Linked DNA regions of Notamacropus eugenii. The protein of the gene in region 1 interacts with the protein of each later gene in a pairwise test. Links are inferred from orthologs where the notes say so. Each region holds a gene or a part of one and is shown in the gene's direction. Other genes may lie near its edges.

Evidence for each region.
Region 2: the proteins of PPFIA1 (region 1) and PTPRS interact in a two-hybrid assay, tested with the Homo sapiens proteins (2 studies listed by BioGRID). The link is inferred for Notamacropus eugenii from reciprocal best matches to the Homo sapiens genes PPFIA1 and PTPRS.
Region 3: the proteins of PPFIA1 (region 1) and PTPRF interact in a two-hybrid assay, tested with the Homo sapiens proteins (2 studies listed by BioGRID). The link is inferred for Notamacropus eugenii from reciprocal best matches to the Homo sapiens genes PPFIA1 and PTPRF.

The regions. Positions count from the first base shown.
Region 1 is NC_092873.1:22,488,972-22,499,345, forward strand, and holds the start of PPFIA1 (liprin-alpha-1), read left to right. Parts: upstream 1-3,427; 5' UTR 3,428-3,561; intron 3,562-5,177; coding exon 5,178-5,441; intron 5,442-10,374. UniProt on the Homo sapiens protein: May regulate the disassembly of focal adhesions. May localize receptor-like tyrosine phosphatases type 2A at specific sites on the plasma membrane, possibly regulating their interaction with the extracellular environment and their association with substrates.
Region 2 is NC_092875.1:72,999,923-73,010,296, reverse strand, and holds the start of PTPRS (receptor-type tyrosine-protein phosphatase S), read left to right. Parts: upstream 1-5,134; 5' UTR 5,135-5,414; intron 5,415-10,374. UniProt on the Homo sapiens protein: Cell surface receptor that binds to glycosaminoglycans, including chondroitin sulfate proteoglycans and heparan sulfate proteoglycan.
Region 3 is NC_092873.1:504,993,821-505,004,194, forward strand, and holds the start of PTPRF (receptor-type tyrosine-protein phosphatase F), read left to right. Parts: upstream 1-5,077; 5' UTR 5,078-5,166; intron 5,167-8,338; 5' UTR 8,339-8,416; intron 8,417-10,374. UniProt on the Homo sapiens protein: Possible cell adhesion receptor. It possesses an intrinsic protein tyrosine phosphatase activity (PTPase) and dephosphorylates EPHA2 regulating its activity.

The DNA.
Region 1 (10,374 bases):
TGATAAACATTTATCAAGTGCCTGCTATGGGCCAGGCACTAAGCTAAGCCCTGGAGATACAAAAAAAAAAAAAAAAAAGGTAAAAGACAATCCCTGCCCTCAAGGAACTCACCATCTAACCTGAGACAACTCAACAATATGCTCTTCCTTCTCCTTTGAAAAGCCATCATCTGGCTCTATCCCCTTAACCCTGGGTATCCTATAAGGCTCTGTCCTGGGATTCCTATTTGCTGGACATTGTCCTTAAAAGCCCACCAGCTCCCAAAGCAAAAGGACCTATGGTTTCATCTCTGCAGGAAGGGAACTTCCAGGTGAAGAAACTTAGCCCACCCATTTAGGGTAGTACCTTCTCCACAACTAATAGAGTTGCCAAGAGGCACTCAGAAGTTGTGACTAGCCTAGAGTCCCACAGTCGATATCTATCTGAGGTATAATTTGGAGTTGTCTTCCTGACTTGAAGACTGGCTCTCTAGTCACTTATAGCAATCAGCCTCTTCACTGCTTCTGTGAGTTCTATTGAAATCTCTATTCAGAAGAATCCCAAAATTATATACACAGCCCTTACCTGTCATCTTAACTCCAGTCTGCCTAATAGACATTTACACCTGATGTCCTATCAGCATCTCATTCGTAATATGCCCAAAATAGAACTATTTCCTAGAAAGTCATCCCTCCTCCACTCTCCATCCTCCCAATCACCCAGGGATGCCACCTTGGAGTCCTCCTTGACTCATTCCACTTCTTTATCCAATCAGTTGTAAAGTCTGGTCAGTTCTCTTTCCCCGACATCTCACCCTATCATTCCCACCATCCCTCATTGAGATTACAACCACCTCATGGGTCACCTCTCTTCCAAACTCCGCCCTCTCCATTCTCCAAAAGGTGGCTAAGTTAATATTCTCTGTCACGTATTTGATCATACCACCAACACCGCCCCTCCCCCCCCCATCCAAAATCATCAGTGGCTTCCCATCGTCTCTAAGATCAAATCTAAACTCTTCACCCTGGCATTCACCAACGTGGCCCTGATGCTTTTCGGACATCATCTTACTCTTGTTCACACGCTGATGGGCAGGTCAAACTGAGCCTAGCGCTGTTGACTGAACTCAACATTTGCTCTCCAGTGTTCATGCCTGTGCACGCCCGGGAGGCTGTGTGCTCCCCCTCCGTCCTCACCTTGACCTCTTTGTAGGGTCAACTCTGGTGCCTGAGGTTACAGGAGACCTTTGCTGATCCCCCTCCCCTCCCCTTCAGGCTGTCCAGAAAACCAAGTGGTTTTTAGTTTTTAATTATTTGCTACAAGTTGTCCTCCTAACCCCAAGTAAAATGCAAACTCCTTAAGGAGGATTTTTTTTTTTGTATTTATATTCTCAAGTGCCTTGAACTTGGCTACTTAGGAAGCATTTTGTAGTTGTATATCTTCTTAGATTGTGCACTTCCTGAGGGCAGGGAGCTTCCATTTTCCTCCTTTTGTATCCCCATCCAGTTTAGGATGCCAGGCACCTCGGAGGTGCTTAAAGAACGATTGATTGAATTGTATTAGTCTGCCCCCAAGCAATACCTAGAGAGCTCTGTAGTGGGGAGAGAACCAGTTTGGAAATTCAGAGACCCGGCTTTGCTACTCACTAAACTCATTCATTAACAGACATTCATGAAGCGCCTGCTGTATGCAGGCACCAAGGGTGCGAGACCTTTCCGCTGCAAAGACAAGTAGGATGCAGCGCTCTGCCCTCCAGGATCCTGCACCTAATGGGGAACGACGGAGGTGGAGCTTGGGATCACAGTATCGTGGAGTAGCAGACCCAGAAGCCACCTACTCCAAGTTTTTCGTTTTAAAGAGGAAGACAGTGAAGCCCAGGGGGTGGTGACTTGTTGCAGGTCACAGGAGTGCTCAGCATGAGACAGGACTGCAATCAGGGCTCTTTCCACTGTCTCTCCCGTCTCAGAAGGAAGGGTGAGACGAGTACCAGGGAATATCCAGCCGTGGGACGGACACTGTAGATCCCTCCTCCTTTCTGGGCCTCAGTTTTCCTGTCTCTAAAATGACGGGCTCGGGCTAGGTGCTTTCTAGGGTTCCTCTCCGGGTGGAATTGGCTCAGCTTTGCTTTGTTTTCTCAGCTGAGTCCCACCGTAAAGGAATGAAGACAGGACAGAGCGCTCACCCTACTCCTTACTTCTCCTTAGTGGGGAGCCCAGGGTTTGCCCCAAGTCCCGCGGGCTAATGTATCATGCAAATCTGACCGCGCGTCTCCTGGGGAAACATCTACCCTAATTTGCATAATGATCCCATTTAGTGCAGGTAGTTAAGCACGTGACCTACTCCCGGGGGTCCGCAGTAGGAACCCTCCCAATTCTAGGATTTGTAGGTGTTTCATCCTTCATCCCCTGGGGGAGCGGCAGAACCGGGCCGGGGCGTCTCGGGCCCTCCAGTCCCCGGGGGTCCGGATGCCGAGTGGGCATCGCCCCCCCCACGATCTCTCGGGGACCGGAAGCGGCCCCGGGCGCCGGAGGACGAAGGCAGAGGTGGGGGGCGCTCCCGGAGGCTCTGCAGGCCCATGGCGCCCTTCTCTTTCCTCTGGTCCTCCTGGGCTCCCTGGGCCCGGTCCTGTCCCCCCGTCTCCATCTTTGCCTCTTTTCCTTCCATTTTCTCCTTCGCTATTTGTCCTCCTTTCCGCCTCCTCTTTTTCTATCTCTTTCCTCCATCTTTCTTTTCCTTATTCCCTCAGGTTCTTTCGCGCATCTCTTCCTCTCCCGGTCTCCGCGGGGCTCCTCGCTCCGCCGGCTTGTTGGCGCACGCGCACATCGGCAGACGTCGCCCCACACTCTTCTCCGCCGGACCACGCCGCGGTCGTTCCGCGCAGGCGCATACTTCGGGCGTCCCAGAGTCTCCCTCTACCTTTCCCTCTCCTTTCCCAAAGTAAGCGTGAGTCGTTTCGCGCACGCGCACGTCCCCCTAGCATCCCGGTGGGGCGGCGGGGTAGAGGACGATGGGCGTGAATTGCCTTTCCACTCCAAGAACTACACCTGGGTAGTTCCGCGCACGCGTACGCCTCCGGGAGCTCGGGCTCCTCCTTCGGCTCTCCCCGGGAGCTCAGGGGAAGGGCCCGTAGGCGCGCGCACGCAAGCTCACGTACGCACGCACGCAGCCGCAGACGGCCGCGGGCCGACGCAGAGGCGCTGACGCCAGGACGTCGTGACGCCAGGACGTCGCCGCCGCCGCGGCGGATGACGCGCGGATGACGCGGATGACGCGCGTCCCGGCCCGGCCCGGCCCGCTCCCGCCGCTCCTCCTCCACAGCCGCCGCCGCCGCTGCCTCCTACTCGTCGCCGCTCCTGGGTCCGGCCGCGGCGGGCAGGCGGGCAGGGGGACAGGCGGGCGGGCGGGCCGGCCTGCCTCGGGGGTCGGTGGTCGGGGGTCGGGGCAGCGGGCCCGGGCTCCGGCCTGGCCGCGAGCCTCCTCCTCCGCCCCGGCCGCGAGCCTCCCTCCTCCTCCCCGCGCGGCCTCGGCTCCTCTCGGGGGCTCCGTCTGGGCGCCGGCGCCGGCTCGGGCCCTGAGCCAAGGTGAGTGCCGGGCGGCGGCGGGGAGGGAGCTCCCCGTCGTGGCCGGGATGCAAGCTCGGACCGGGGAGTGGGGGCCGGGCGTCCCCCGCGGAGGTGGGGAAACTGAGGCACCGAGGGGTCGGACGGTTCACCTTAGGGCGCCGAGCCGGGGTGGATCGGGTCCAGCGATCCCTTCTCCTCGGGGCGTCGCTGCCGGGCCGGAGACCTTGTACAGTCAGCACTTATTAAGTGCCTGCTGTGTTCCTGGAGACCTCGCCGAAGGCTCTGATTTTACCTCTGACCCCCGGCCGGGGCTTGACGGGGGTTGGGGGGTCCCCGGGAGGTTCCTCCTCCGCCGCCCCCGAAGGAAGGACTTGGCACCACCGAGCTGGGAGGGGGTGTTTTGTCTTTGACTTTCCTGCTGTTTCCTGGTCCCGCCGGGGCAGCCGCAAGTTCACTTCTCTGTCCGGGGCCTGGAGCGGAGGAGGCGCTTCGTAACTGTGTATTGAGTATTGATACAAATCCTGCGTGTACCCCGAAAGCTCTCCCCGGGCAGAAAGGCGGCTGGTCCTGTCTGTTGGTGCGATACTGTATCAGGCGGTGATACTGTAGCATGTGTGAGACGGAGAGGGGGACTTATTCCTGTGAACTCCTGGACCAAAGCTGTCTTCAGGGGCCGGAGGCAGGGAACTTGCAAAATGTATGTTTTCTTTGCTTTTCTCTGCATTATCTTCTTTAATGCATTTCAAAACCGTCCAAGAAGGGCTGCACGGTGTTCATGGGGTCTTGGGCACGACCAAGAAGCCCTGGGCTAGAGGAGCCGTGATTTCCCTGCTTTCCTCAAATCCTGTTTAAAAGTCGTTTTTTCTCATCCCTTAATATTTGAGAGGTATTCTCAAATTTTGCCATTCGTCTTTATTCTGTCCCCTTTTCTCTGTGACCATGTTGATCCACTGTTTCTACACACTAAGTGTTTGTTGTAGCCCATCCCCATAAGGCTGAGTGGTTACTGCGGTCCAAAGCTCTCCCAGCTGTTGAATAATTTAGCTTCTTTTTGTTCTAGTCACCAAGTCCAGTGCAAGAACTTGGACCTCTACCTGTCCTCTCCAGTAGTAGCCCATACGTATTCCTGGATTGACCTTGATGGGTTTAGCACTTGTCCATTCTATCGATTAATTATTCTTTTGGCATCTTGAAAGATGATGGGGTACCAGGTATATTTTGTGGGTTGTTGCTTTCTTTGACCAGGAACTAGAAACTATGAAAGAGCATTTTTTAAGAAAGTAGCAACTAAGAAAAAATGCTGCTTTTTAAGAGGTCACCAAGTTTCCTTTTTAAAAATTTTTTTATATATTTTTAATGAAAGGTGATGATCAAGTTTTAGCACATACCAATCTTTTCTACGTTCATTCAGTTAGAGTTCTTGGCTTTTAGATGTCTGGTGGATGTTCTGATTTTTCCAGTTCACATCATGTTTGTGTAGCACTTAGAGACAGCATTACTCTTAAGAAGGCCAGAAAGAAAATATGCTTTTCCATTTTAACTTGTGATGATGTATTGAGTTTGCACATTGTTCTAAATTGCTTCTGGACTCTAGAGTTGCATTTAATGACTATGGTCTGAATTTTTATTTCAAGATGATGTGCGAGGTGATGCCAACCATCAGTGAGGCAGAAATTCCCCCAGGAGGAGGTGGAAGCCATGGTTCTGGTTCCCCTTTACAGCCAGATGCTGATTCACATTTTGAACAATTAATGGTGTCCATGTTGGAAGAAAGAGATCGTCTTCTGGACACTCTTCGAGAGACTCAAGAAACGCTTGCCTTGACTCAGGGGAAGTTGCATGAGGTTGGCCATGAAAGAGATTCCTTGCAGAGACAGCTCAATACTGCACTCCCACAGGTATGAATGTTTTTAACCTTGATCTTGCTAAATGTTTTGCATGGTGTGACTTAGTCAGAAAATTTCAAATAAAATCTGCAGTACTATCTATGAAATGGTCCATCAGGGACCACGTGTGGTGGTAATTTCTTGAGGCTGTTCTCTGCCCTTCACTGGAAGTAAAACCAAACAAGACTCTAAATGTACATCTGACGGTTCTCAGATATGCCCCGTCCCTGACTTTTTCCTTCCTAATTTGTGACTATTCATCTGTCCTGTTGGGGTGAGGTTACTGCAGTGCCTGCCTGCCTCAGGCTCTGCCTGAACTTCCCTCCCACCAGCACCCTCTGCACATGTGAATTTGGGGAGTAGCTGCATGGGGGTCAGACTTGGTTTTTGTGTTTTGAGTTGTTATTCAGTCACCAGTGCACCAAAGTCCATCCTTCATTGTTTGACTTTGGAAACATGATGACCTGAAGAAAAATACTCGGAAAGTGACTGGGAAATGTTCTAGTCAGCCCCTTTACATCTCTGCTTCTTGACTTAATGGGGAACCTTTCCAGAATGACTAATGAAGATAAAGGCACTTACGAGTTTGCACCGTTGGTAAATATTTTCCTATAACTGCATGTGGACAGAGGGATCTGTGGCTTAAGGCAGTTCGGTTATTAGAGTAGTTCAGATGGTAGACTGTGATCACGAGCGTAAGCTTAGAATAGGAAGAACCAAAAACTTTATGGCTGTTTTCAGAAGTGTTGTTCCTGTGATAATGGTAATTATAGAATGGTTTAAAAAATACCTAATTTATGTAAACTAAGAAGGGGGGGAGAATAAATAGTTCAGTGGATAGAGTCAGGAAGACCTGAGTTCAAATCCAGCCTCAGATATTCATTAACTCTGTGACCCTGGCCAGTTGTCAAAGCCTGTCCATTTCACCTTTACATCTCTGGAATATGCCCCCTTCTCTCCTGACAATCTTCCCCTCCAGGCCCTCATTGCCTGGATTCTTGCTGTAATTACTGGGATGGAGTGGGTCTGCCTGCACCAGATCTCTCCCCACTCCAGTGCCTCTTCCACTCACCCACTGAAGGGATTTTCCTAAATGCAGGTCTAGCCATACTCTGTCAACTCCAGTGGCTCCTTATCACCTGCAGCTTCAAATACAAAGTGCTCTGTTTGCCATCCAGAGCCCTTCACAGCCTAGCCCTCTCCTGATTTTCTCATCTTACACTCTGCTCTTTCCTGTGCTCTTTGATCCAGTGACACCAGCCTCCTGGATGTTCCATGCACAAGACCTTCCATCTTTCAGCTGTGGTCATTCATTCTCTCTGACTCTCATCCTTGGAATTCTCTTCCTCAGTTCCACCTCCTGACCTTCCTGGCTCCTTTTAAGTTCCAATAAAATCCTACCTTTCACTGGAAGCCTTTTCCAGTCCCTCCTGATCCTAGTGTGTTCAACTCCTTATTGCAGTGTGTGCTTCTTGAGGGCAGGGACTGTGTATTCCCAACACAGCACAGTACCTGGCACACATATTAGGCACCTAATAAATTTTTATTGAATGAATGAATCAACTTAACTTCAGTCTCCCAAGATTGTTTTGAGGATCACATGAGATAATATCTGTAAAGTGCTTAGCCCAGTGCCGGGCACACAGTAAGTGCTATTTAAATGGTGGTGGTGGTGGTAGTAGTAGTAGTAGCAGCAGCAGTAGTAGTAAGTATGTGCACAAAGAATGTATGCTGGGAGGATGAGTCACAGTACATGATGCTGACCATGGAGAGAAGAGCCTTCTTTGGGGAGAGTGTATTGGGCAGTGGACTTGTGGCCACAGGCAATGCCTGTGCTGCATTAGCTTCACTTCTGGAAACCAGCTTGAATTCGATTGTGGGATTTTTTTTCCCTTGTGAGGAAGTATCTTTAGATTCCTCATGAAAGATAATCCAAAAATGAATATTTACTTAACAGAAATTTGCATTTTTGTAATCATCTCAGCTGGGTTTCTCTTTCTGGGGCTGGAGAACTGTAGGGGACCCTTGAGGGAAATTGGGTTTGGAGACTAGAATTGTAAAAGTTTAGGCTACTGTTTTTCCTTTTGTACTTAATCTTTTACATTTGGGCAAGTGTCAGAGGGCCTTTAGTGTCAGTGTTGAATAATAACCTGACTATCAAGAAGGGCAGGAAAAATTACGTCTGTACCTCAGTGCACAAGTGGATTCTAGTCCCATTCATGTGTCAAGCTGCATGAACACGGGCCTATCACATCATCTCATGAGCTTTAGTTTCCTTGTCTATAAAATAATGGGGTTTGCAGGAGAGTGAATTTAAAGATCTCTTTGCCTCTGAGAGGGACATGTGGTGTGAGGGGAATGACCTAGGTGGTTCTCTTTGGGATGGGCCTTCTTACTTAGGATGTGTCCAGGTAAACATCCTTTTATGCAGTTTTGGTAGTGATTAACCACTGAATTATTGCTGTCCTTAATGCATTTAATCACTTCTAATAAACTAAACACTGGATTTTCCTTTTTAGCAACAGTGATTTTATGTCAGTGCTATATCCTTTTTTAGGATGCATAATAAGGATATTTAAAAATAAGATTTTATGTTTGCTGTTAGAATCTCATTCATATAAAGCTTGAGAATATAGTCACTTGCATGTCATTGCACCACCTTGGCAGAGTCTTTGGTTGTACTCAGTTTTGCTCACTGTTGCTCAAGATACATGGTTTGCCACATAGCTTGGTGGTTGTAATGCCACATTGCAGCCTGGCGTAGTGGATAGATTGCCGGGTTTGGAATCAGAAACACTTGAGTTCAAAGGCTGCCTCTGACATGAGCTGTGTGACCCTGGACACAGCACTTAACTCGAAACTGATGAAATCAGTCACTTCTCTCTTGTAATTAGACTTTTTAAAAGTAAGAGATTTACGGAAAAATCAGAACGAACAGGTTCTTAGTTGGCAAGGGACTCATCATTTTATGTATCTTAAATAACGTGCTCTATGTTACTGGTTCAGGATTGTATTAATGGAGGTGCCCGTGAAATGATGAATCCAGTACAGGCATGGAAAGATACCGTATGGCAGCATGCCACAGTAGCAAAACATTAGCTTTTACTGTCATCAGGAGCAGCTGGTGGTGTAATGGATACAACGCTTGTAAGTCAGGAAGGGTTGAGTGTGAATTCTGCCTCTCACACTGCTTGGCTGGATGGTCGTAGGTCAGTCGCATGGAGATTTCTTAGCCTTAGTTTCCTCACCTGTAAAGTGGAGATAGTGATAGCACCAAGCTCACAGGATCTTTGTGAGGATCAAACGAGATGACATCTGTTAAGCACTCCAGTGATGTTTATCGCCGTCCTCACTGTCCTTACCACCCTTGTTTAACAAGCTTCTGAGTGAACCAGGGAATGGCTCTGGAGGGCCTCAGAAGTGAAGAGTTTTTAGGTGTGGCATTTGACTTAGCACCATGCTTGGCTGTGCTAGGTGCTTAATAAAATCTATCAATTGAGAGATAGTCTTTGTGTTCTGTGCCGCACACTCCTGTCCATCACCCCCATTCTCACCTCTTTTGCACCAATATCATGAGAAGAGGAGACCTTTTAAGCCAGGGCCAACAATATTTTTGCCCTTGAGTGAGATGGCAGTCAGCTCCTGTTTCCTTTGGGAGCCTGTCCTTTTCTATCGCTTCTTTTTTTTTCTCATCTTCATTCTTTCTTTCCTTTTCTTAAGAGCATTCCACTTCCTATCTTTAAGAAGCCTTCACTTGTCCTTTCTGTTTCCTGCTGCTTTTGTCCTAGCTGATTTTTTTTTCCCTTCGTTTCAAAGCTACCTCTTAGAAAAAAGAAATTATTTACCTGACTTTTTCTCACCCCCTGTTGACTTCTGGATTTCACCAGTCAGCCGAGCTGTCCTCTTCTGCTTAGTTGTTGAGCTTGTGATTTTTAAAGTGGAGGAATGGTGATTTCCTAATTTGTTCTCTTTGTGGTTTGTGACATGGTCATTCACTTTTTCCTCCTTCATGTTTTCTTTCTCTTCCTCTCCCTGGACGCTCGTTCTTTTCCTATCTGTATTACTGATCTGTTTTAATCTCCTTGTTGGGTCATTGCTGCTAATGGCCTACTGATCTCGGGCAGTTTCTTGTCTCTTTTCCTCAACCACTTTTTTCTTCTCTTTCTTAAATCATTCAGCAAGTGTTTATCATATGGCTTAAATATATCAGGCACTGTGCGGGGTATGAAAGAAAAGTGAGACATTCCCTGTCTGCTCTCAAAGAACAGTCTTTTAAAACATTTTAAAAGGCTTTTTTGGCTATCTTCTTTTTATATCACTTTAATTTCTGAATATATTTTTCTTTATCTCCTTTTCATGGAGCTATTCTATTCATTCCTTTTAACAGTTGTGGTGGGTGAAATCTTAAGTGGCTGAGAATTCAGACTGAGATTCAAGCTTCCGTGCCTATCCATTTATTCAGCTGTGCGCGCCAATTGCATAACAAATTGGGATGAGGTGTCCTCAGATTGGCACTGGACCCCGAATACAGGTGGAAACAGTTTTGATACATTAAAAGAAAACAGTGAACAGGCTATAAGCCAGGATGCAGGATTAGATAATCTGATTTCTAACTGGAGGAAAGATTAGGGGTTTTCCAAGTTGGGAGAGGGGCCAGTGAACAGGTGCAATTCCCTGAAATCAGAAAAAGAGGTGGCCTACTCCCCCCAGTGTCTGAATTCAATCAAAAGAACAAGGACACAATAGCTGGCTGACCAGTGTGGGGCCAATTTGCAGATAAAACATGGGTTGCTTGAGATGTGTAACTGCGAGAAGACTTGCATCCTCTTCACCTCGAGCTGGGCTCCAGGGCCTCTGAGCAGCAGACAGAGGTGATCCAGCTTCCCAACCACACAGCCCTAGGTCCAAACAATGCAGTAAAGTTTTCTCACAAGACAGAAATTGG
Region 2 (10,374 bases), on another chromosome or scaffold:
TGGATGAGCTTAATTGGCTAGTTGGCTAGACAAGCCATAGTCTAGGGAAGTGGTCTACAAACTTTTTTGATTATATACCCCTACCAGAAAAAAAAAATAGCATACATTCCCAATTTGTGTATGTATGTATGTATGTATGTATGTATGTATGTATGTATGTATGTATGTATGTATGTATATGTAATTATCAATTATAGTCTTTTTACATAAATGGCCACTAATTTTAAAATTTACACAAAATAGATATTTTTGAAGAATAGGATAAAGGTTAAATAACATTTTATCCTAGAGGCAATAGGGGTTCACTGGACTTTATTGAATAGGAGACTGATATGGTCAGACTGTGCTTTAGGAAAGTCACCGTGGCAACTGTTCAGAGGATGGCTTGGAAAGGAGGCAGGGAGATGAATTAGGCTATTGTACAACCAAACCAGCAAAGGATTTCTTTACAGGGCTAGAAAAAATAATAACAAAACATCTGGAGGAACAAAAGGTCAAGAATCTCAAAGGAAATAATGAAAAGAAAAAATGAGAAGAAAGGAAGCCTCTCAGTACTAGATCTCAAACTATTCTGCAAAGCAGTAATCATCAATATCATTTGGTATTGACTGAAAAATATAAAAGTTCATGAATGGGACAAATTAGGTATACAAGCTACGAAGCAAATGAATATAGTAGTAAAATGTTCCGTAAACCAACTGGGGCATGGACTCACTCTAACAAAAACTGTTGGGAAAACTGGAAAGCAGTCTGGCAGAAATCAAGTTTAGACTAACATCTCATAGCACATACTTAACAAAGTCCAAAGGGCTACATGGCTTAGACAGAAAAGGTCACAACATAAGAAAACTACAGAGGCATAGGGATGGAGATACTTTTTGCAGCTATGGATAAAGGAAGAATTCTTGATCACTGAGAGACAGAAAGCATCGCAAGACATAAAAATGGAAAATTTTGATTCCATAAAATTTGAAGTCCTCTGTACAAACAAAATTAATGCAGGCAAAATTAAAGAGGAAATTAGTTAACTGGGGAAAATATGTGAAACAAGATTCTTCTATAAAGAAAGGTCTCATATCCATAAAGTATAGAAGGCTGATTTAAAATATAAGAACAAAATAAATAGTCAAAGGATATAAACAGCTAGTTCTCAAAGGAAGAAATCTAAGTTATCAATAATCATATGAAAATGCAATGAATAAATAGTAATAAAAATAAACAAAACAACTCTGATGACTCACAGATGACAAAAAAGGGAAAATTATAATTGTTGGAGGGAATGTGGGAGAGTAAGCACACTAATATACTGTTGATAGAGCTGGAAAATGGACTAGCCATTCTGAAAAGCAATTTGGAGTTGAACTCAAAAAGTTATTAAATTGTGCATACTGTTTGACATTCTAGTTAGACATATACTCAAAGAGATTGAAGATTAAAGGAAAGCTATAGTTCCAACAAAAAAATCCAGAAACTAAGGGGATGCTCATCATTTAGGGAAAAGATGAACAAATTATGGTATAAGATATTATTGAATATTATTGAACCATAAGAAACCGAAAGTATGCCTTTAGCAAAACATGAGAAAACACATATGAACTGATGTAGAATGAAATGAGTTGAAATATGAGGAATAATTTATACAATGACTACAACATTGCAAAGAAAAATCATTTTGGAAAACTTAAGAATTCTAATCAATGTAATGACCCACAGTAGCCCAGAAGACTTACAAGGTGTGCCATTGACTTACTATCAGAGATATAATGGACACATGATGCAGAATGTGATAAATATTTTCAGACCTGGCCAATGGGATGGGCTCCACACTTGCCAATTAGTTCTTTCCCCACTAAATACTAGTTGCACAAAAAAACTAGAGATTTCTTTATCAAAGAAAGCAATAAACATAAATTGGAAAAATTATGTAGACTATGATATACCCTTAACACCATGGGTAGATTATTCTCACGAAGATTTTATAGAGACAAGAAAGTAAGTGGCATGGTAGAGAGAACATGGGACTTGGTCAGCTCAAATACTGTCTCTATATGATGCTGGGCAAGTCAGTTTCCTCATCTGTAAAATGAGGATAATATCAGCACTACTGCACAGTCCGTGGTGAAGAATAAACAAATTAATAAATGTAAAGCTCCTTACAAACCTTAAAGCCAAATTAAGGACTATCTATTGTTGTCATTACTGTTATTAGTGTCTTCTTGATGCCTTTTTGGAATAATAATATTTTCCATGATTCTATCCATTCTTTTTGAATCTTCCTCACTCTGAGAGACATCATAAAATTATCTCCCCCCCCCCCCCCAAGTCTTTCAAAACTGAGCCACATCCAGCATGGGTTTTTTTTTTTTTAGCATATACTTATATGGTCATACATATATATATATACACACACACTTATATGGTCTATATATATATTACTCATATATATAGTCCATTTTTTTAAACAAAACACATCTTCTTAAATGCCATTTCTTTTTCATCAAGTACAAAGGCAGTAAAGTCCAACTGTATTGGTTTTGCTCTCAAAAATGATGAAAATAGATCCTTTGTAGAAACAATGACAAATCTGTTCCCATTTATCATTTATTTGTTGTTCCCCTCCCAGTTTTATCTATAAATGCTCTTGGGATGATCTGGTTTGGTTGTGCCTCCTGCCAAGCTTTCTATAGATGTATTTTTGCCTATGCTGCTTTTCACTGTTTTGTATGAAGTTCTTCTGACTTACAGACTTCTTCTATCGTCCTCCAAAATGTACAAATGTGTTTGTACCGTAAACCCGTGATGCCCTTGGTATACATTAGCAAGGAAATCCAGTATTTTCTCACTAAAATAATCTTGTCTCTTTTGTCCTCCTTGTTGAATTGACTAGTTGGACTTATGGGTTCATTAGTGTAGGGGGAATCCTAATAAGAAAACTGTTCATCAATGCAGATCACAACTCTTTTTTAGCATATTCTTAGAGAGTTAACTGAGAGGTTGAGTGACTTTGTCCAGGGTCACACATCACAGAGGTGAGATTTTAACCCAGGTCTTCCTGACTCTGAGGCCAGATCTCTATCCATAATGCCATTATGCCTCTCATCAGTTTACATGAACTGCTTCTTCAAACTTCTGTGGAAATGGTAATTATCAAAGTCAATATGACCTTTTCCCATTTCTTATTTTCCAGTGTCAACATTTTATTTGAATAGCTCAGGTTGAAGCTATTATAATTGGATCCTGTACTGCAGACAGAACCATTGTGCTTCTCCATATTCTCCAGCATCAGCATTATCATCAATCTTCCTACCATTATCATTCTTTCTTCTGATTCTCGACTGGTTTTAACTGACTACCTATAGACAGTTGATTCTGAAGTGACTCCCATGTCAATAATAAGTCATTTCTTTTCTGTTCTTAAAGAATCAAATTCAGTCTGTGAGAGAGAGAGAGAGAGAGAGGGAGGGAGGGAGGGAGGGAGGGAGAGGGAGAGGGAGAGGGAGAGAGGGAGAGAGGGAAAGGGGGAGAGGGAGAGAGAGAGTTTACTTGATACTCAGTCAATAGGCATTTATTAAGCTCTTATTTAGGTATCAGACTGTTCTATATGCTTGGGGAAAGACAAAAAAACCCACAAAAACAAAACAAACAACAAAAAAAACCCCAGTCCTTGCCTTCAATATGACCCCTTCCAGAACCTTCGAATCCTGTTCTTAGTCAGTCGATTCCTTTGGCTGTACTGGATAGAATGTTAGGCTTGGAGTCAGTAACACATGCCCAAATCCCACTTCTGGCCAGTAGCTGAATAATCTTGGATGAGGGATTTAACCTCTCTGAGCCTTAGTTTCCTCATCTGTGAAATGGGAATAATAATATCTGTAATTCCTGCCTCAGAGGCATTATTATAAAAGTCAATAGAGATCATACAGTGGAGGCACCTAGACTCTCTAGGGCCCAGAGAAGTATATCCCTATCATAATAAGTTATTGTTATTACGAAAGGAAGTATTCACGAAAATTATCCCGTGTTTACTCTTTGGAGGTCAAGGATTGTCTTTTTTTATCCTTGTATCTCCATTTAGTAGCTATTGCTGCCTGCTAGTTGAATTTCTATAAAGAATATTCCTGTTGATGTGAGTGTTCATTGCACAAAGATCTCCCATTTAGAGATGGTCTAGAAACTCTGAATTTCTGCACCCTCTCACTGTCTTTTCTGCCTCTCCAACACCATGACCGTAGGAGTGAGTGGGGGGGCATCTTTTGATTTTCTTTGTTTCTTGGGTTGCCATGGACGACGATGATCACCTAGTGAGTAGGCAGACTCCCGGCGATGAGCCTTTTCATACCCGGGCTGATCCTGGGGGAGCAGACCCAGCCTGCCACCAGAAATGCACCGGTAGACACTGAGAGCCTACGCTCCTAGCATCGTGTTCCAGAGTCCTGGGACACCTCCACACCGCGATGAGGTATCTGGGCAGGGCTTTAGCTGGATACTTGATGACACGCTTTTTATGGACAGCTCCATTTTTGCTGGTGCCTCAGGGTTTACCGAGTACTCTCCTCACACAAATCCTGGTGGGTAAGGGCTGTGGACAGCACTATTGTTTTTACAAACCTCACACCCTCACAGTGCTTGCTACATAGCTAAATGTGTGTGTGTGTGTGTGTTTAAATTTAAGACTGAAAATAGCAGAAAGGGCAGAGGGGAAAGCTGATTCCAAGAAAGCCATTTACAATTGTGTGAAGCGAGATCCAAGCCTGAGAACATGGGCGCTTCGAGGGTCCCTTTAACAGGCCCTCTTGCGCTATCGCCACTGGGATCACCACGTGCTCCCTGGAGCCCCTGCTCCAGAGAGCACCACGTGCTTCTGAGCCCTTTAACTCACAATTCGGTCCTTTGATCACCACGTGACAGAAGTCAGCTATTCCCATTGGCTGGCAGTAGGGGGCAGGGGAGGAGGGAGGTTTGGTGGCGAGGTGTTGCGCGGTGACGCAGGGACGGCCCGGCTCCGCCCCCTCGTGGGCTCCTCGTCTCCCCCCTTCCCCGGAGCCGCGCGAGCCCTCCCTCTCCCTCCCCCCTCAGCTCCTGGCCGGCGGCGGCGGCGGCGGCGGCGGCGGCGGCGACGGCGGCGGCGGCGGCGGAGGCATCGGCTCTTGGAATGGAATGACATCACCGGCTGTGGGGAGCTGGAGCTGCTGGGAGAGCGCGAGCCGCAGTGTCTGTCCTCGCGCCGCCCGCCCGCCCGCGCGATCCCTGCCAGCCCCGGCCAGCGCGCGCCCGCTGCCTGCTCTGCTGCTCGGGCTGGCTTGCCTGGGAGAGCGCCGGGGCCAGACGGATTAAATGCTACGCCGCCGCCGCCTCTTCCTGCGAGGATGTGAGGGGGGCAAGAACCGGGGGAGCCCAGCCCAGCCAGCCACCAGGTAGAATCTCAGCCCGAGCCCCGGGGATGGGGGCGGGGGGCGGTCGAGGAGGAAGGGGGTGGGGGGCGATGGAGTCGCCGTAGCGTGGGATGGGATGCACCCGGGCATTGTGTGAGGGAGCCGGGGAGTGAGGCACCGGCGCAGCCGGGCATTGTGTGGAGCTGGAAGGATGCTCCGGTGCCCCGGCTGCTGTGCTCGCGAATGGGAGCTGGGGCGTTGCACCCAGGAGCCGGGGGAAGGCACCGGGACAATGCCTGGGGGGGCGGCTCTGCACGAGAGGGGGGTGGGGACGGACCGGACTGGCTTCTGAACGTTGCACTGAGCAAGCGGGGTGTAGCTGGAAGCGCTGTGAATTTGTGCTGGGAAGGGAGGGATGCGACCGACCAGGAGGGCTGGGGGGAGGGGGGAATACGCTGGAAAGCACTCGCTGAAGAATTGTCCTGGAAGCTGGGCAGAAAGCCCCCGAGCTTGGGTTGGACGCACCCGGGGATGATGCGGGCGGGGCAGGGAGTGCAGGAAAGGGGAAAGGAAGGGGAGCCGGGATGCCTGTATCGGAGTATGCGGGCGATGGCAGCCGAGTCCCGGGGCAGCTCTCTCCTAGGAGGGCTGACAGGATGGAGGAAAGGCAGGCTGCTGAAGGCTGCGAAGACCCACGGCTATTCCGGGGACTGGTGGGGGTGGGGACAGAGAGATGCACCACTGAATTACGGGGCATCGAGCCGAGGGGTGGGGGAAGCCCGAGAAAGGCAGAGCCCCGGAGCTTATACCTTCAAAGGCAGAGAGAAGGGTTGAACCCATGGACTCTGGGAAGCTTGTTGAGAGGCAAGAAGTGTCTTCCACTTTTCCCGCACCTGGGGAGCCCACAGCCCGCTGTCTTCCTGAGTCCCTACCCTCCGTTGCCTTCCTCTCTCTCCTGCCATGCACAGGGATCCGAAAAGTGGCAGGGGACCTCTCCCTATTCTTTTTTCCCTCTTCAGGTCTGGTCTGCTGGCCTTGGTTGCTGGTCAGACCATGGACATCCCTTCTCCACTGGGCACCAGAGGGCTCCCTCTGGCCCCAAGCCCCTTTCTCCTAGGGGATTTCCCCCCTCCCCTCTTTTTGTGCCTCCCCTCCCACCTACTATCCTGCTTTTCACCACACCCCTCTTCCCAAATGGGATTTAGCTTCTGGTTTCCTCTGAGCACCCTCCCACCCTTTCCACTCTCAGCTTTTAGCTCACTTCCGTGTACCTTGGACCCCGGAGCACCAAAGGAGTTACGTCCCCCTCGGATGACAAGCTAGGCTTTGGGGACCCAAAGACAGAGCCCTTGCCCCTCTCCAGCCCGCAGATGCTGGAAGCCTGGTTCGTCTAAATGGGGTGTGTATGGGGGTGCTCTTAACCAAGATTTAGGATTGATAAGACAATTTGGGACTTCTTGATCCGTCCCTACACCGCTGCCACCACCCTGAATCTCTTGCCCCACAGGGCTGTTCTTAGAAGGAAACATTTCTCTTGTCCACACGGGGAAGAGGAATGACAAATCATAGAATGAAACAGAGCTGGAAGGTCCCTTAGCTTCCTCACCGTTTTGGAGAACGGAGTCACAACATTTCCAACCATCTCAGGTCCCCATGGAGGGAGGGAAGGAGTGTCGGTGACTGATACCTGCCTGAAGCCCTTTCAGTTTGGGGAAAGCCAAGAAGTCTGCACTAGCCCTTGGCACCCTCCAGGAACGGGGATTTTTTCAGAGAGCTCGGCAGAAGGTGAAAGGGGGGAAAGCCTGGCAGGGGTCCCACCAGGAGACCCTGACACAGGATTTTGAGTGAGTGTTCACGTGCTCAGAATTCTCCCGAAGCAGACTGCTCCCCGGGTGCCAGTTTGTCGGAAAGCACGGAGGGGGCCGCATTCAGGCGGAGGGGGGGACCAGGTTTTTGCTTGAAGGAACATCTGTGGCTGCTACAAGTAGAGAGGGAGGGCGGCGGCCTTTGGATTTTTACCCCTCCCGGCCCTGGGTGCCTGAAGGAGCTTAATAAAGGCTTGTTGAATGGAAATGCATCGATTGACTAGTTGTCTAGAGGCTGGGGCTGGTCGCGATGGAGGCCGGGCACCTTCAGGGCAGGGCCGGGGTACGCTGGCAGCCTCGCCCTGCACGTGGCGCCCGCTCGGGGATCCCGCCTGCACTGGAAGGTGAGAATACGGAGGCCGTGCGTGCGACTCTTGCAACTCCTGGACCCCGTGGGTGCCTTGCCCGCGGGCCATCCCCCCAGTCTTTCCCCTTCTCCTCCCGGAGCCACAGCCTGAAGCGAAATCCCTAAAGCCGGTCGGCACCCCGGCCAGCTGCCCGCCCCAGCCCGGCTTTAGCCCCTGGCCGCGCGCGCCGCTGGGGGGCGAGGGCGAGGGCGAGGGGAGGGGCGGGGAGAGGAGCGCTGACGTCATTCCCGGAGGAGGCAGGGGCGGAGTTCCCTTCCTTCTCCCCTCCTCCTCCCCCCACCCCACATTGGCCGTTATCTCGCACTCCGGCCGCTGGGCTCCGCGTTGGAACTGTAACCGGCGAACGTGGGGAGGGGGAAGAGAAAAAGCTTGCGAGCGCGCATGCGCAGTTGGGGGGGGGTGCCCTGAGGTTGTGTTTAAACCTGTACCCCGAGTCTCTCTGAAAGACTAAGGGGTGTCGGGGGAAGGTGGCAGCCGCGAAGTGGGAAGCCCTGGTGGGGCTTTTCTTTTTCTCTTCTCTCCCCTCACCCCTCCCTCTTCTATGGGGAGATTGCCTGCCCCTCTCTCCAGGCTGGTGCACTATTTTGGGAGGGCTAAGGGATACCTCCCCAACTCACGCACCTCGTAACGCCCCCTCATATGCCTCCCTGCTCGGGCTGGGCCTGCGGGGTTTCCCTTTCTGTGGGCCTGGGAGGGAGGGTCCTCGTGTAGCAGGACATGGGGTGGGGACCCTATGTAGAAGACTAATGGGGGGCCTCAGGGTGAGGCATTCACACACCTTTAGCCTCATAGCACCCCCCAACCACAGCTGGGGGGCACTCTTTTCTCCCCGCCCCCTTCCTGCTAGTAGGGTTTTCTAGATCTGAAGCTTTTATTTCTAGATCCGAAGGCTTTCTTGGCCAGAAAAGGAGCAGAGCCTGGGAATTCATTCATTCATGACTTCATGAATTTGCTCGTCAGACATTTCAGCCAGCCTCTGGGTGCTGGCTGTCGGGGAAGTAGGAAGGGACCCTCTGACCCTCCTGCCCCGTCCTGGGGGGCTAGACGAGCAGCAGCAATCATCACCCTTAAGATGAAAAATGAGACAAAAACCACTTTTTTGGAGCTTGGCTCCAAAGGAGAGAAGATGGAAGTGTCCCTCCTGCCCCCCAGCCCAGCCCGGCGCAGCCCGGCCCCTTCAGTCTCAGGGCATCTCCTGTTGCTGATTTACTATCTTGGGAGCCCTGGTGTCTCCCCCCAGCTGTTGTTAGTTCATTGTGAAAAAAGCACCTGGCTGGTTCAAAGGGGAGTGGGAGATGGACAGGGAGAAACGTGTGTGTGTTTGTGTTTTCTCCTTTTCCCTGAATTGTTCCCTTCACCCTTCTGGAAAAGCTGGCCAGTTGCCTCCGATGAGACACCAGCTGCTTCTGCTCAGGGCCTTATTAATGGGTTTAGGGATTTGAGGCGACTCTCCATTTGCATATTTCTCCCTCTCTCTCTCTCCATTTCCCAGGGTCTGGTGTGGCTTCCTTTTCTGCCTCCCCCCACCATCTTGCCTTCTGTGTCTTTTACTCTGCCAACTAGACCTTCATAGCTGCCACTGGCATTTGCAGCTTTGAAAAGGGAGTTTGTATAGTGGGAATAGTAGGTTCGAGGGGAAGGCTGGGGCTGGGATGTGTGTTTGTCTGTGGTAGAGATAGATATACAAAGAACTGGGCTTGCTCCTGCTGTCTAGTGCTTTGAAGTAAAAGGAAACCACATGATGCTCTTTCTTCAGTGTTCAGAAAAGTGAATTTTCCAGCAAGTGGGTTGGATCAAGTAAGAGATCCTTCTGTCCCAAAATGGACTCACAGAACCAGATTAATGCAATTATCTCATTCCTCAGGATGGCCCAGAGACCATATTTATGTTATTTAGGGTCAATATTGGAACATCAGAATTTAGCATTAAAGAGAATTTTGAGATTTTCTACTTCATCTCCCCCCTCCCCTTATTTCACAGATGAGGAGACTGAGAACTAAAGAACTGACTTGCTCAAGGTCACACAAACTAGTAAATGGCGGAGCTGTGATTTAAAGTCAGATCCACTGTCTCCAAATTCAGTATTTTATCTATGGAATACTGGAGGAGAGGATCTCCCCTCCTGCCTTTACTTTCCTCTTATTCTGGAAAGAAAGAACAATGAAAGGGGCCAGAGGTTTGACTTTCCTGTTAAGACTTTAATTCTTTTTCTTGAGTATGAAGTCGGCATGGGCTAAATTCCCTTCCGTCGTGTGCTATTGTAGCTGAAGACTCCAGACAGGTCTGACGCAGAGCTTTGCACTTAGTAGGCCCTTCATAAATGTTTAGTTTACTACAGCATCTAAGAGGATGACAATGCACTTTTCGGTGGGGATGGAGGTGGGAGGAGTCTCCCCCCCATGGGAATTTCCACCTGCCCTGCCTAACGATGGCTTAATCGTGTGGAGAATTGATATAATTGGGCGCAATATGCACAGTGAGCAACGAGCAAACAAGGTTGTGCCTGGAGAGATGGTACAACCTTAGTGAGCTAATGGGTCTTTTCCATCCCTTACCTCCCAGTCGATGACATCTGGGTGTCTGGGGAAATCACCAAGAGCTCCTGATGCCGTCATCCTGAAGAGTACCTTCTTTGTTATACACACACACACACACACACACACACACACACACACACACTCTCTCTCTCTCTCTCTCTCTCTCTCTCTTTCTTTCTCTCTCTCTCTCTCTTTCTCTCTCTTTCACATACTCCTTGGGTTCCTGTGAGTC
Region 3 (10,374 bases), about 480 Mb from region 1:
CAGATTTCTCCAGGAATCAGGTCAAACTCACTGCCCTGTGGTCTGTGGACTCTCTTTTCTTCCTTTTTGGAAAATGAGGACATTTTCTCTTTTCCAATCCTATCTGTGAAGTTTCTAGTATCACTCAGCAATCCTGTCTGCTGACTCGTGATGGAGGCCGGAGCTCACCTGGGCTGGGTCAGCTCCGTGACTGGGTTCTCTTGCTATCTTCCTTCCTCATGTTAGGTATTAACTCCTGTTAGTCACATTGCTTTGTCTTTCGTTGTCCAAAGAGCAAAGACTGATGCAGCTCTGTCTTGTTGATTAGTTCTTAGCTTTGACCCTCTACTTTCCCCCAATATTGCTGGAAGCCTCAGCCTCTCTGATCTTTGATCATCCTGGCACTGTTCTTACCAGGAGGGCCTGCCCTGCCTTCTGCAGCACTGGCTTGCTCTAAAAATCTAAGGTAGAGAGCTCCCTGTGTGTCCATATCAATTCTCTTGTTTCCTCAGAACTTGCTTCTTGAGAGCTCCTAGTCCACTCTCCTTGGGCTGGATGCAGTGTTAGTCCATGGGATCCTACGTCCTAAAGGCCAAAGCTTGAAGGTGAGAGGTCGACAATAACTTCTGCTTTATGACCATGTCCCCTAAATTGCTGCTGACCTGGGCTGAATCTGTTCCATTCTCAGTGCTCTACAGGAGCTCAGCCAGCCAGCCCTACCTAGCTTGTCTTCTCCAGCAGGTACCATTCCCTCTGTCCTCTCCTCTGTTACCTTAGGCCGTTGAACAGCTACTCAAATATGTCTTGCAGTTTTTCAGATCCTGGGATCCCCCAAACCTTGACACCTGAGCCACCCATATCTGACCTTTGTCCCCTCTTTTCTTTACTCCACCTCTGGCAGACCCCAAAGGAGAACACAAAGACAGGCTCCGGGGACATGTGTTAGTGAAGTAAAGGAAGACTGCTCAGTCCCGGGTCTGGGGACCAGGAGGGGGAAAAGCTGAGCAGAAATAAATGCTAATAACCCAGTTCCCCCGGAGGCCTCACCCATTGTGACAGACTCAGCCTGGGGGCTCCTCATAGGCTGGGTTCAGCAATGACTAGGAAGGACTCCTCCATCTCTCTCACTCCTCCTTGTTCCTTGTGTAATTCTGTCTTCCCACATCCCCAGGCAGAGCTCATCCCTGGCTGAGAGGAATCTCCACAATGAGAGATTCAAACACCCTTCCAAGTGACAGTTGCCAGTTCTGTTTCTCTGAGCCACCCTGTCAGCAGAGCCACAGCTGATGTGATGGTTTTAGCTGGGGACCCAAGGAAAAGAGGGGGCAGGGAACCAAATCTGGAGGTGGAGCAAAGGAGAATTACATCCCCAACTTAGGAGTCCCTTGATTAGAGCCCTGGGACACCAGCACAGTGGGGACCTGTGGGTGAGACAAGGTCATATCAGATACACCAGGTTGGTTATTGGGATATGGAATGGAGGGGGTACCCTTTGCCCCAATTAACAGAGGAGGGTCAGGAATTCCCAGATGTTCCCATAATCTGCCCCTGGAGAATACCTAGTGTGGAAGTGGCCCTAGTAACCCGAAAATCCCCAGTCTTCTGATTCAAATCCATCCCACCCTTGCTTGCCTGCCTTGGCTTCAGGTGAGACCTGTGACCCCAGACTCGAGGTCCTAACTAAGCCCAGAGGCAGCTGGGTGGTATGAGTCAGCTGTGGATTTGGACCGGAAGAACAGAGTTCAAATTCAGCCTCAGATGCTTACTAGGCAAGTCACGCCATTTGGGTCTGCCTCAGGTTCATTATCAGTAAAATGAGGAAAATAAAAACACTGACTTCCCAGGGTTCTTGTAGGGACAAAATTGGAAATCATATTTGCAAAATGCTTGGGAAGCCCCACACAAACACTGACCATTAGTGATGGGGTGGAGGGTGGGGGATTTGGTGGGAAGTTGACTCCAGGCCACACAAATTTGTCAGAGGTGGAAGGGGCAGGTCGGGGGGGGGGGGGGGGGGGGGGGGGGGGGAGCTCCTCTACCCGCTGGGGCTCCCACATCTGGGAGGTCCCTCCACAGCAAAAGGAGTGTCTGGGGTTCTCCCCAAACCTCCTCAGAGGTAGACCTTGGGGCAGTCCCGCGGGTGAGGAGAGCAGACATCAGAATTAGCTGCCGCTTACTCTGAGGGGCGACCCACGGGTGGGTATGTGGAGCCATCCCTCCAGGGCACAGCGCCTACTTGATGCACTCGCATCCGTGGCCTCCTACCCCCATCGCAGGGGCGGATTTGTGGAGCCACTCCCCCACCCCCCATCTCGACAGCGCCCACCATGCCCACGCCTAGTCTAGTCCATTTCCACGGCTGCACTTGATGCGCTCGCACCTGTGCCCGTGCCCCTCTCCTGCGCACAGGTGCCCATGCTGCCTGTGCCACCCAGCAGCCTGGCGCCGGCCTCTCCACCTCCAGCCCCTGCTGCCCGAACGGCCTGGCCTCTCCACAGACACGAGAGGGAGCTCACGCTCCACCTGCGAATTCGGGACTCAAAACTCAACCGGAAATAAACCCCTCGGGGATCCCTCTTCTCCCCCCACCAACCTCCCTTGGCAGCCTCCCTGAACCCACTCCGCCTTTCTCCCCGGAAGCTTCAGGCCCTGGACCCCAACCCTTCCCTCAGAAGCCCACCGCACACACACCCCCTTGGCCCTGGGAACGTGTCCTCAACTGGCCCTCACAGCCAGAGCAGACCCAGCTATTCACCCCCACCCATCCCCCCAATCCTGCTTCCCGCCTTTGCTTGGAGATCCCTTCCAAGGCCAGGGAGGTCACCACATCTTGAGCCAGTCCCTTCCACTCTGGGACTGCTCTCATTCTTGGAAAGTTATTCCTGACCTTGGGCTTAAATCAGTCAGTCAATAAACATCTATTAAGCACCTACTGTATGCCAGGGATGGTGCAAAGTGCTGGGAATACAAAAAAAGGTGAAAGCCAAGGCTGTGTTCGGCCCCCTTCCTCCTTCCTCCCTCCCCTCCGGAGCTGGGAGAGGATGTGTGTGCATCACAATGAAGCAAGGGGTATTGTGGGACTGTGCCCCCCAACTTCCTTGTATCTACTTGGCATACAGTTGCCCCAAGGGCAGGGATTGTCTCACTTTTGTCTTGTAGCCAAGTATCCAGAGAGCCAGGCTGGAAACAGGAGACCTGGATCTGGAGCAGCCTGTGGCACCTTCTGGCTCACTTTATCAGTCAATGCCCCAAGTCTCTCTCTAAAATGCAGAGAAGTGCTGGCCTGCATTGGAAAAGGAGTCTCCTCTCCTGGGAGTTCCCATCTGAGCTCTAGGCCCAGTCCCAGCTTCCATCCTAGCCCTGGACCTCACCCAGGGGAAGGCCTCCTGGACCGAAGGAGGTGGAATTGTATGGACGTGTGGGACCCATTTCCTCTGGTTCACCCTCCATATCTACTGGGCTATGCGTTTCTCACACCAGGCCCTCATCCCCTCTGACCTCAGCTATTGTAAGTTTGTTGCCTGTATCCTTTCTCTCCAGATTTTATCTATCATGCCATTTTCAGCCTCCTTTTATGTTGACTTCCCCCAAGGACTGTTTTACTCAGCACAGTGGCTAGCACACAGTCAGTGCCTAATAAATGCGTGTTCTGTGCCTCACTCAAGGCTTTCCTCATCTCCCACCTACACCCCCTCCAGTCTGCAATCTGCTGGTGCCTCGTGGCCCCTCACCAGCTCACTGTCAATTAGCTTGCGTCGAAGGTAATTCTGACTGGGGGGGGGGGGGAGGAGATGGGGAAGCACTGTACCCTCAGTGCTTTAGCACAGAGTAGGTGCTTAATAAATGTTCCTTGGTTGGCTAATTATTTATTTTAGACCTTCTAAAGCTGGAGGAAGCCTTCCTCTGATGGGAACCTTTGAGGGTCTGTGAAAGAGGGAAGGAAACCTGGGCACCGGCAGCCCGCACCCTAGGTCGGGGGAGAGAAAGAGGACTGGCGAGCCCAGGACCAGTCATGTCTGAGGCGCACGGGATCACGTTCCGGGGAGCTGAGGCCGCCCGGGCTGCGGGGCGGGCTCGGACCCGGCCCGGCCCTGCCGCCCCTGAGGCCGCCCGGGCTGCGGGGCGGGCTCGGACCCGGCCCGGCCCTGCCGCCCCTGAGGCCGCCCGGGCTGCGGGGCGGGCTCGGACCCGGCCCGGCCCTGCCGCCCCTGAGGCCGCCCGGGCTGCGGGGCGGGCTCGGACCCGGCCCGGCCCTGCCGCCCCTGAGGCCGCCCGGGCTGCGGGGCGGGCTCGGACCCGGCCCGGCCCTGCCGCCCCTGAGGCCGCCCGGGCTGCGGGGCGGGCTCGGACCCGGCCCGGCCCTGCCGCCCCTGAGGCCGCCCGGGCTGCGGGGCGGGCTCGGACCCGGCCCGGCCCTGCCGCCCCTGAGGCCGCCCGGGCTGCGGGGCGGGCTCGGACCCGGCCCGGCCCTGCCGCCCCTGAGGCCGCCCGGGCTGCGGGGCGGGCTCGGACCCGGCCCGGCCCTGCTGCCCCTAAGGCCGGGCCGACCTCCTCCCGGGCGGCGGGGCCCTTTGTCTGCAGACTCCGGCGGATGCCCGGCTCACCGAGGGGCCGCGGGAAGAGGGCGCACCTGGCCCAGGTGACGACCCCGCCCCCTCCACGAGGGCTAGCCCTCCCGCTCCCGGCCTGGGATCCGATCAGGGCGAGGCAGGCGGGGCCGCGTGGCCCCGCTGGGGAAGCCCTCCGGGCCGGGCCAGGGCTCGCTCGGACCAGTGCGGGACACCCGGGGAGGGGCTCGGGGGGCTGCGGGCGGGGGCGGCCCCGGCCCCCTCCCCAGCGGGTCAGGCCCGGGTCGACACGCCGCGGGGAGGTCCCCGCCCGCGCCCAGTGCACACACGCGGGGAAGCCCGCGCGCACCGACCCCGTTCCCCGGGCCTCCGCCGGCGAGGGAGCGCGCGCGGGGGGCGGCGGCGCGCACGGCACGCGGGGGCGCGCACGGCCGCCGGGCACGCGGGCGAGGAGGCGGCGGCGGCGGCTCGGCTCGCGGGCTGGGCTGGGCTGGGTGGGCGCTCCGGAGGCCGGACCGGCGGGTGGACGGGCGCGGGGCCCGGGGCGCGGGGAGCCCGAGCAGGGCGGCCATGAGGAGCGGGGGCGCGGGGGCTCGCAGCAGCAGGAGCAGCAGCGCGGGTGAGTACGGCCCCCCGCGTCCGTGTCCCCTGTGGGGGCCGTGGCCGTGGCCGCCGACGGTGGGGAGGGGAGGGAGGGAGCCTCGCGGGGGTGGGATCCGGGCCGGTCACTCTACCCCCCCCCCCCCCCGCCCGCCGCCTGTGCGCGCCCCCCGCGAGCGCGCGCCCGGGCTCCGGGCCCCCCTCGCGTGTCCGCGCCGGCCCTGTGGCCGTGGCCCGGGCGGGGCCCGCGAGAGGCCCTCCCCCCCGGGGCACCTGCGGAGTGGGGACAGGGGCTCCCTGCCTCTGGGGGGGGCGTCTCTGGGAGTCTGTCTCGGGGCCCCCTCCCCCCGGCGCCCGCGCGCAGGAATGCCGCCCCTCCGGCTTTTCCAGCCCGGCTGGCCCCGCCCCCGGCCCCGCCCCACCGGCCTGGGCTACCTGTGGGGGGAGGGGCGCACGGGGAGGAGGGGGAGGGGGCCACGGGGGGGGAGGGCCCCCCACCCCCCCACCCTCCCGCGCGGGCTCTGCCTCCTTCCCGCCCCTCGGCCCCAGGACCGCAGCAGCCGGGCTGGGGAGCTCGCTGCCCCCCGGGACCAGAGGGTCCTCAGTGGGCCCGGGACCTCCAGCCCCCACGCTGTGCGCCCTCCGGGGGCCAGGGAACTCGCCCTTCCAGTGCTGTGGGTCCTGCTCCCCTGCTGAACAGTACGTGCCGGGCCGTCTTGTGGGCTCAGTGGCCACTGAGAGCTCCAGATCCTTTTCAGATGAGCTGCCCTCTCATCTTGTACTTTCTGGTGCCTTTTTAATCCAGGCGGAGGACTTTACATTTCTAGTGACCCGAGGTCCCTGGCGTGACCACGACCTCTCCCAACCCCGGCCCACCCCCGTGTACACACTTTCTTTCAGTGCCACTCTCCTAGTGTCCTTCCATCACCCTCCTGGACTGTGTGGAGTAGTGGGCAGAGGCAGGCCCTAGAGTCACCAAGACCTGGCATTTTCTAGCTGCGTGACCCTCTGGGTCTCAGTGACCTCACCTGGCCTTGATGGGCTCCGGAGCCCTTCCTGATTCAGAGTCTGTGCCCCCCTCCTTTTTTTTTGGCTCTGTTGCTGTTTCAGTTGGGATGCCCTCTGGGTCTCCGTACAAGTCAGTGCCTCAGGTGGGCTCTGCTGGAGCTGTCCATCCTTCTTCCCAGGCAGCATTGTCTGCCTGTGTCTTGTTTCTGCCATCACCCTTTGCTCAGCTCTGGAGCATCCTTCTGAGCTTCTAGTGTAGTGACCTCACCAAAGAAAGTCATATGGGTCAGTGGAGCCTCCCCCCATGGACCCCCAGAGTCTCCCCAGGAAGCTGGGTTCTCTGCAGACTCTCCCCCTCTGCTGGCCTCCCCAGCAGGGACATTTGATGCCCTTTTCCTTGTTCTCTCTTCCTCAGCCCCCGCCCTGCAAGCCTGGCCAAAGCATCTCCTGAATACACCCCTTCTCTTGTTCAACACTGTCCCCCACCCCACCCAGGTGTGGCCCCTCATCAACTCATGTTTGAATTATTGTAGTAGCTGCTGGGAGTCAGTCAGTCCTTTAAGCATTTATTAAGTGCTTACTGTACACTAAAAGTTAAGAAAGGTTTAGAAGAATTGCCGTTGCTTCCAGGTTCCTCCGCCTAACAGACAGGTCTGACCATGTCACGTCCCTCCTGTGCTCATGAAGTTGGTGGCTCCCTAGTACTGCCTCTGGGCTTGGCATTCCAAGCCAGGCCTCCCACTTCACTTTCCCAAGTGATTTCTGGTGACTTCCTTGCCTCTGACTCTGTCCTTCCAGCTCCCTCCCTTTTCCACTCTGCCTGTGGTCCAGAGAAGGAGGCTGAATTGGACTCTGCCTCTGACACTTCCTGGTGACTGGGTGACCCTGGGCAACTCTTTGCCGAGCCTCATCGGCCTCACTTACAAAATGAGACTAAAATACCTGGCGGCTCAGCTCGACAAACCTTTTGATGACAGCTGTGGTGGCGGCTACTTTCTCACCCTTGGAGCCCAACTCATGCCCCCTCCTCCATGAAGTCCCCTAGGCTTCAGCTGCTTCTGTCCCCTCTCCCTCTTCCTTTGTGCCATCTTCCTTGTGGACCTCCCCACCTGAATCAAAGCTTCTTGAGGGCAGGCAGGGATTGAGTCACCTTGTAGAGCACAGGGTCTGGGAGCCAGTCCAAGGCTGTGCCCACATGCTGCTGTCTAGGGCCTGAGGAGGGCAGGTGTGCCTGGATCCAAATGCAGGGGAACTTGAGGGGCCTGCTGCCTGGTGGTCAGCCAGCTAGGCGGGGTGACCCTAGCAGTGCATTAGCCTGGTGGCTGAGGGCTGGACTGCACCAGGACTGGCCCTGGGCTCTGGAGGATGAGGTAGGGAGGGACAGTGGGGGAATCAAGTCATGGAGGTGGGAAGGAACCCTGTATGCACTCGATGGACAGATGGATCTTGGCCTATTTTGGGCCAATGTTGGGTGTGTTGGGGAGGTATCTTGGATGCCTGTCTAAAACTTGATCCTGGGATAGCTGGAGCCACAGGCAGTGACTTTCAGGAAAAGTGAATCGGGCTTTTCTGGGGGAGAGGTGAGGAGGAACCTCTGTCCTCAGGCCATGGGGACCAGTGGGGACCAGCCTCTGTTCAGGCTTGTTTGTAAGTCATAGGCAGCAGGCCTGGGGCTGAGGTAGATGGCTGTGTGGGCGGTGCACAAGTGTAGATGTCCAGCAGAGGAAGACCAGTGCCCACAGAAAGGAGAACTTATGAGGGACGCAGAGGCTGTGGATGTTTGGTGCTAAGTGACAGAGCCACAGAGTCCCCTAGGTTCTCAGTGTGTCCCTCTGCCTTGCTGGCCATCCTTCCTGAAGCTGCTTTGGGGGATGAGGTGGGCATGCCTCAGACTCAAGCAGTCCCATCCCCCCCTGAGGAGCGTGAGCTCTGGCTTGCCAGAGCTTGCTCTTCTGTGACCTCTTTTGGTGCCCAGTGATGGGGAGAGTGGGAGGGGAGCCACTGTCAGATTTGAGTGTCCCTTTGTCCCCCAGGATGGAAGGAGTATGGACTATATGGCCTTGCATTCTGGGACCTCATGTTCCAGGTCCTCCTCCTCCTCCGTCTCCATCTTCTGGGCTGGGAACCTCAGGCTTCCTTGCTTGCCAGAGACCTAACTCCCCTGCCCCCTTCCATCTCTACAGGAATGAACCGAGGACTCCCAGCTCCAGCCCTGGCCTCTCAGGCATCTGTGCAGTAGAAGTGACAGATTGAAGACTCAGGTGAGTCCAGCCCAGCTGGGCTCTGGACCCTGCCAGGCACAGAGGCCCCCATGGTGGGAGGGACGGGGGGGGGGCCCAGACCTGGGCAGGGTCAGGGAGTGTGTTTGCTTTCTCCGAGTAGGAGGGAGCCATGGAAGTTTATGGAGTAGGAAAGTGACTTGCGCTGCAGGCAGTCACTTTGGTGGCTGTACATGTGAACAGAAAGAAGAGGCTGTTGTTAGGCAACAACTTTCTATTAAGTGCTTGCTGTGTGCAGGGCATTGTGCTGAGCCCAAGGGAAACAAGCAAAAGCAGAAAGACAGCTGTTTCCCTCAAAGAGCTTATGTTCTAATGGTAGAAAGCGATTCTGGGTGCCCTGAGAATGAGGGAGGGACAGAGGAGGGGCCAGGTCTGTGGAGAACTCCCTATAGAAGAATGAGGGATGGGGAGGGCAGGCAGGAGCTGAGAGGGACCCCTGAGGTCCTCAGGTCCAGCCCCCTTGTTTTACAGATGAGGAAACTGAGGCCTGGGGAGGTAGCACAGGGAAGGGGGAGAGAATGAGCATTTCCGTGGCATCTGCCCTGTGCCCTGTGTAGATGTCATTTGGTCCTGACAGTGACCCTGGGAGGGTGGTGCTGTGATAATGTCCCTGTCACAGATGAGGAACCTGAGGCAAATAGGTTCACTGACTTGCCCAAGGTCACACAGTTCATCAGTGTTTGAGGTTGCATTTGAACTCGGGTTCTCCTACTCCAGGCCCAGCGTTCTTCCCATTGAGCCATGCAGCTAAGGTAGAAGTGGCAGAGCCACGTTTCGAACCCGGGCCTTGCTGCCGACTAGGTGCTCTTTTTGTCACCCTGTGAGGCCTATGTGCCAGGCTCTGACTGCAGGGGGCACATTTGTAGAAGCTCAGGCTTGGAAGAGACCCCAGAGGCTCCGAGTGCAAACCCCACCTACCTAAGAGTCTTTTTGTCATTGTCCCAGCTGTGCTTGAAGATCCCCCTCCCAGAGCGGCCCAGGGTGTTTGGGCCCACTCTCGTTTCCCTTGTCTCATTGGGGCTCTCCCCACCTCTGGGGCAGGTCTTCCACAACTCTGTCTTCCTCTTACTCCCTCAGCGAAGACCCTCACCTCCTCCCCTGTGGGAAGGCTTTTTTCTCCATTTAACCCTCTACTCCTGAAATCATCCCCTCCTTTACTCTCATCTGGAGGCAGCCTCTTCCCCAGGCTCTTGACCCTGCCTCGTTCCCTGTGCTGAACAAACCCTTCCTGGACTCTGCCATCCCCCTAGCCAGCGGCAGACCATTTGCTTCTCTCCCCATGCTACCTGCTGACTCCTACTTTTTAAAGTTTGACTGCTCCCTTTGGTCTGAGTGGCTCATTCACCGGGGTCTGTCCCTGCCTTGACCCGGAGCCTTCCCATGCAGCCAGAGTTTTTTTAGTATGTGCAGCTCTGCGCCTCCCAGAGTCTCCCATGTCTGCAGTGTCAGGGGCTTGGACATTCCAGTTCTACCCCGCAGTCCTCTCTTGAGTGGGCAGCCCTTTGTTTCTCCTCCTCCCTCTGACAAGCTCCCCTGCCCCATCCCCCTCCATCCTGATCATTTGGGCTCCCTCCTTCCTGACTGATAACTCCTTTTAAGTCTCCTTTGCCGGTTCATCGTTTGGGCCCTCAGCGCCCCCCAAGGCCCGGATGCCTTCTCTTCCTCCTCCACACTCCCCACCACCTCAGTTTTCCTTCTTTGTAGAGAAGATTCCCAGGGCTGTCCTTCTTAGGAGTCCAAGAACTAGAAGGCACTTTGGCGACATTGAGTCCAGCCCCAGGCTTAGCAGGAAACACTTTGCAGTCTTCTTAACCAGTGGACACCCAGCCTCTGTTTGGGGACCTCCACGGACAGGGAGCTCATCACCTCCCCGGGCAGCCCGGAATGCCCCACTCTGGGACAGTGTCATGGTGAGGGAAGTTTTCCTGCCATCCAGTTTG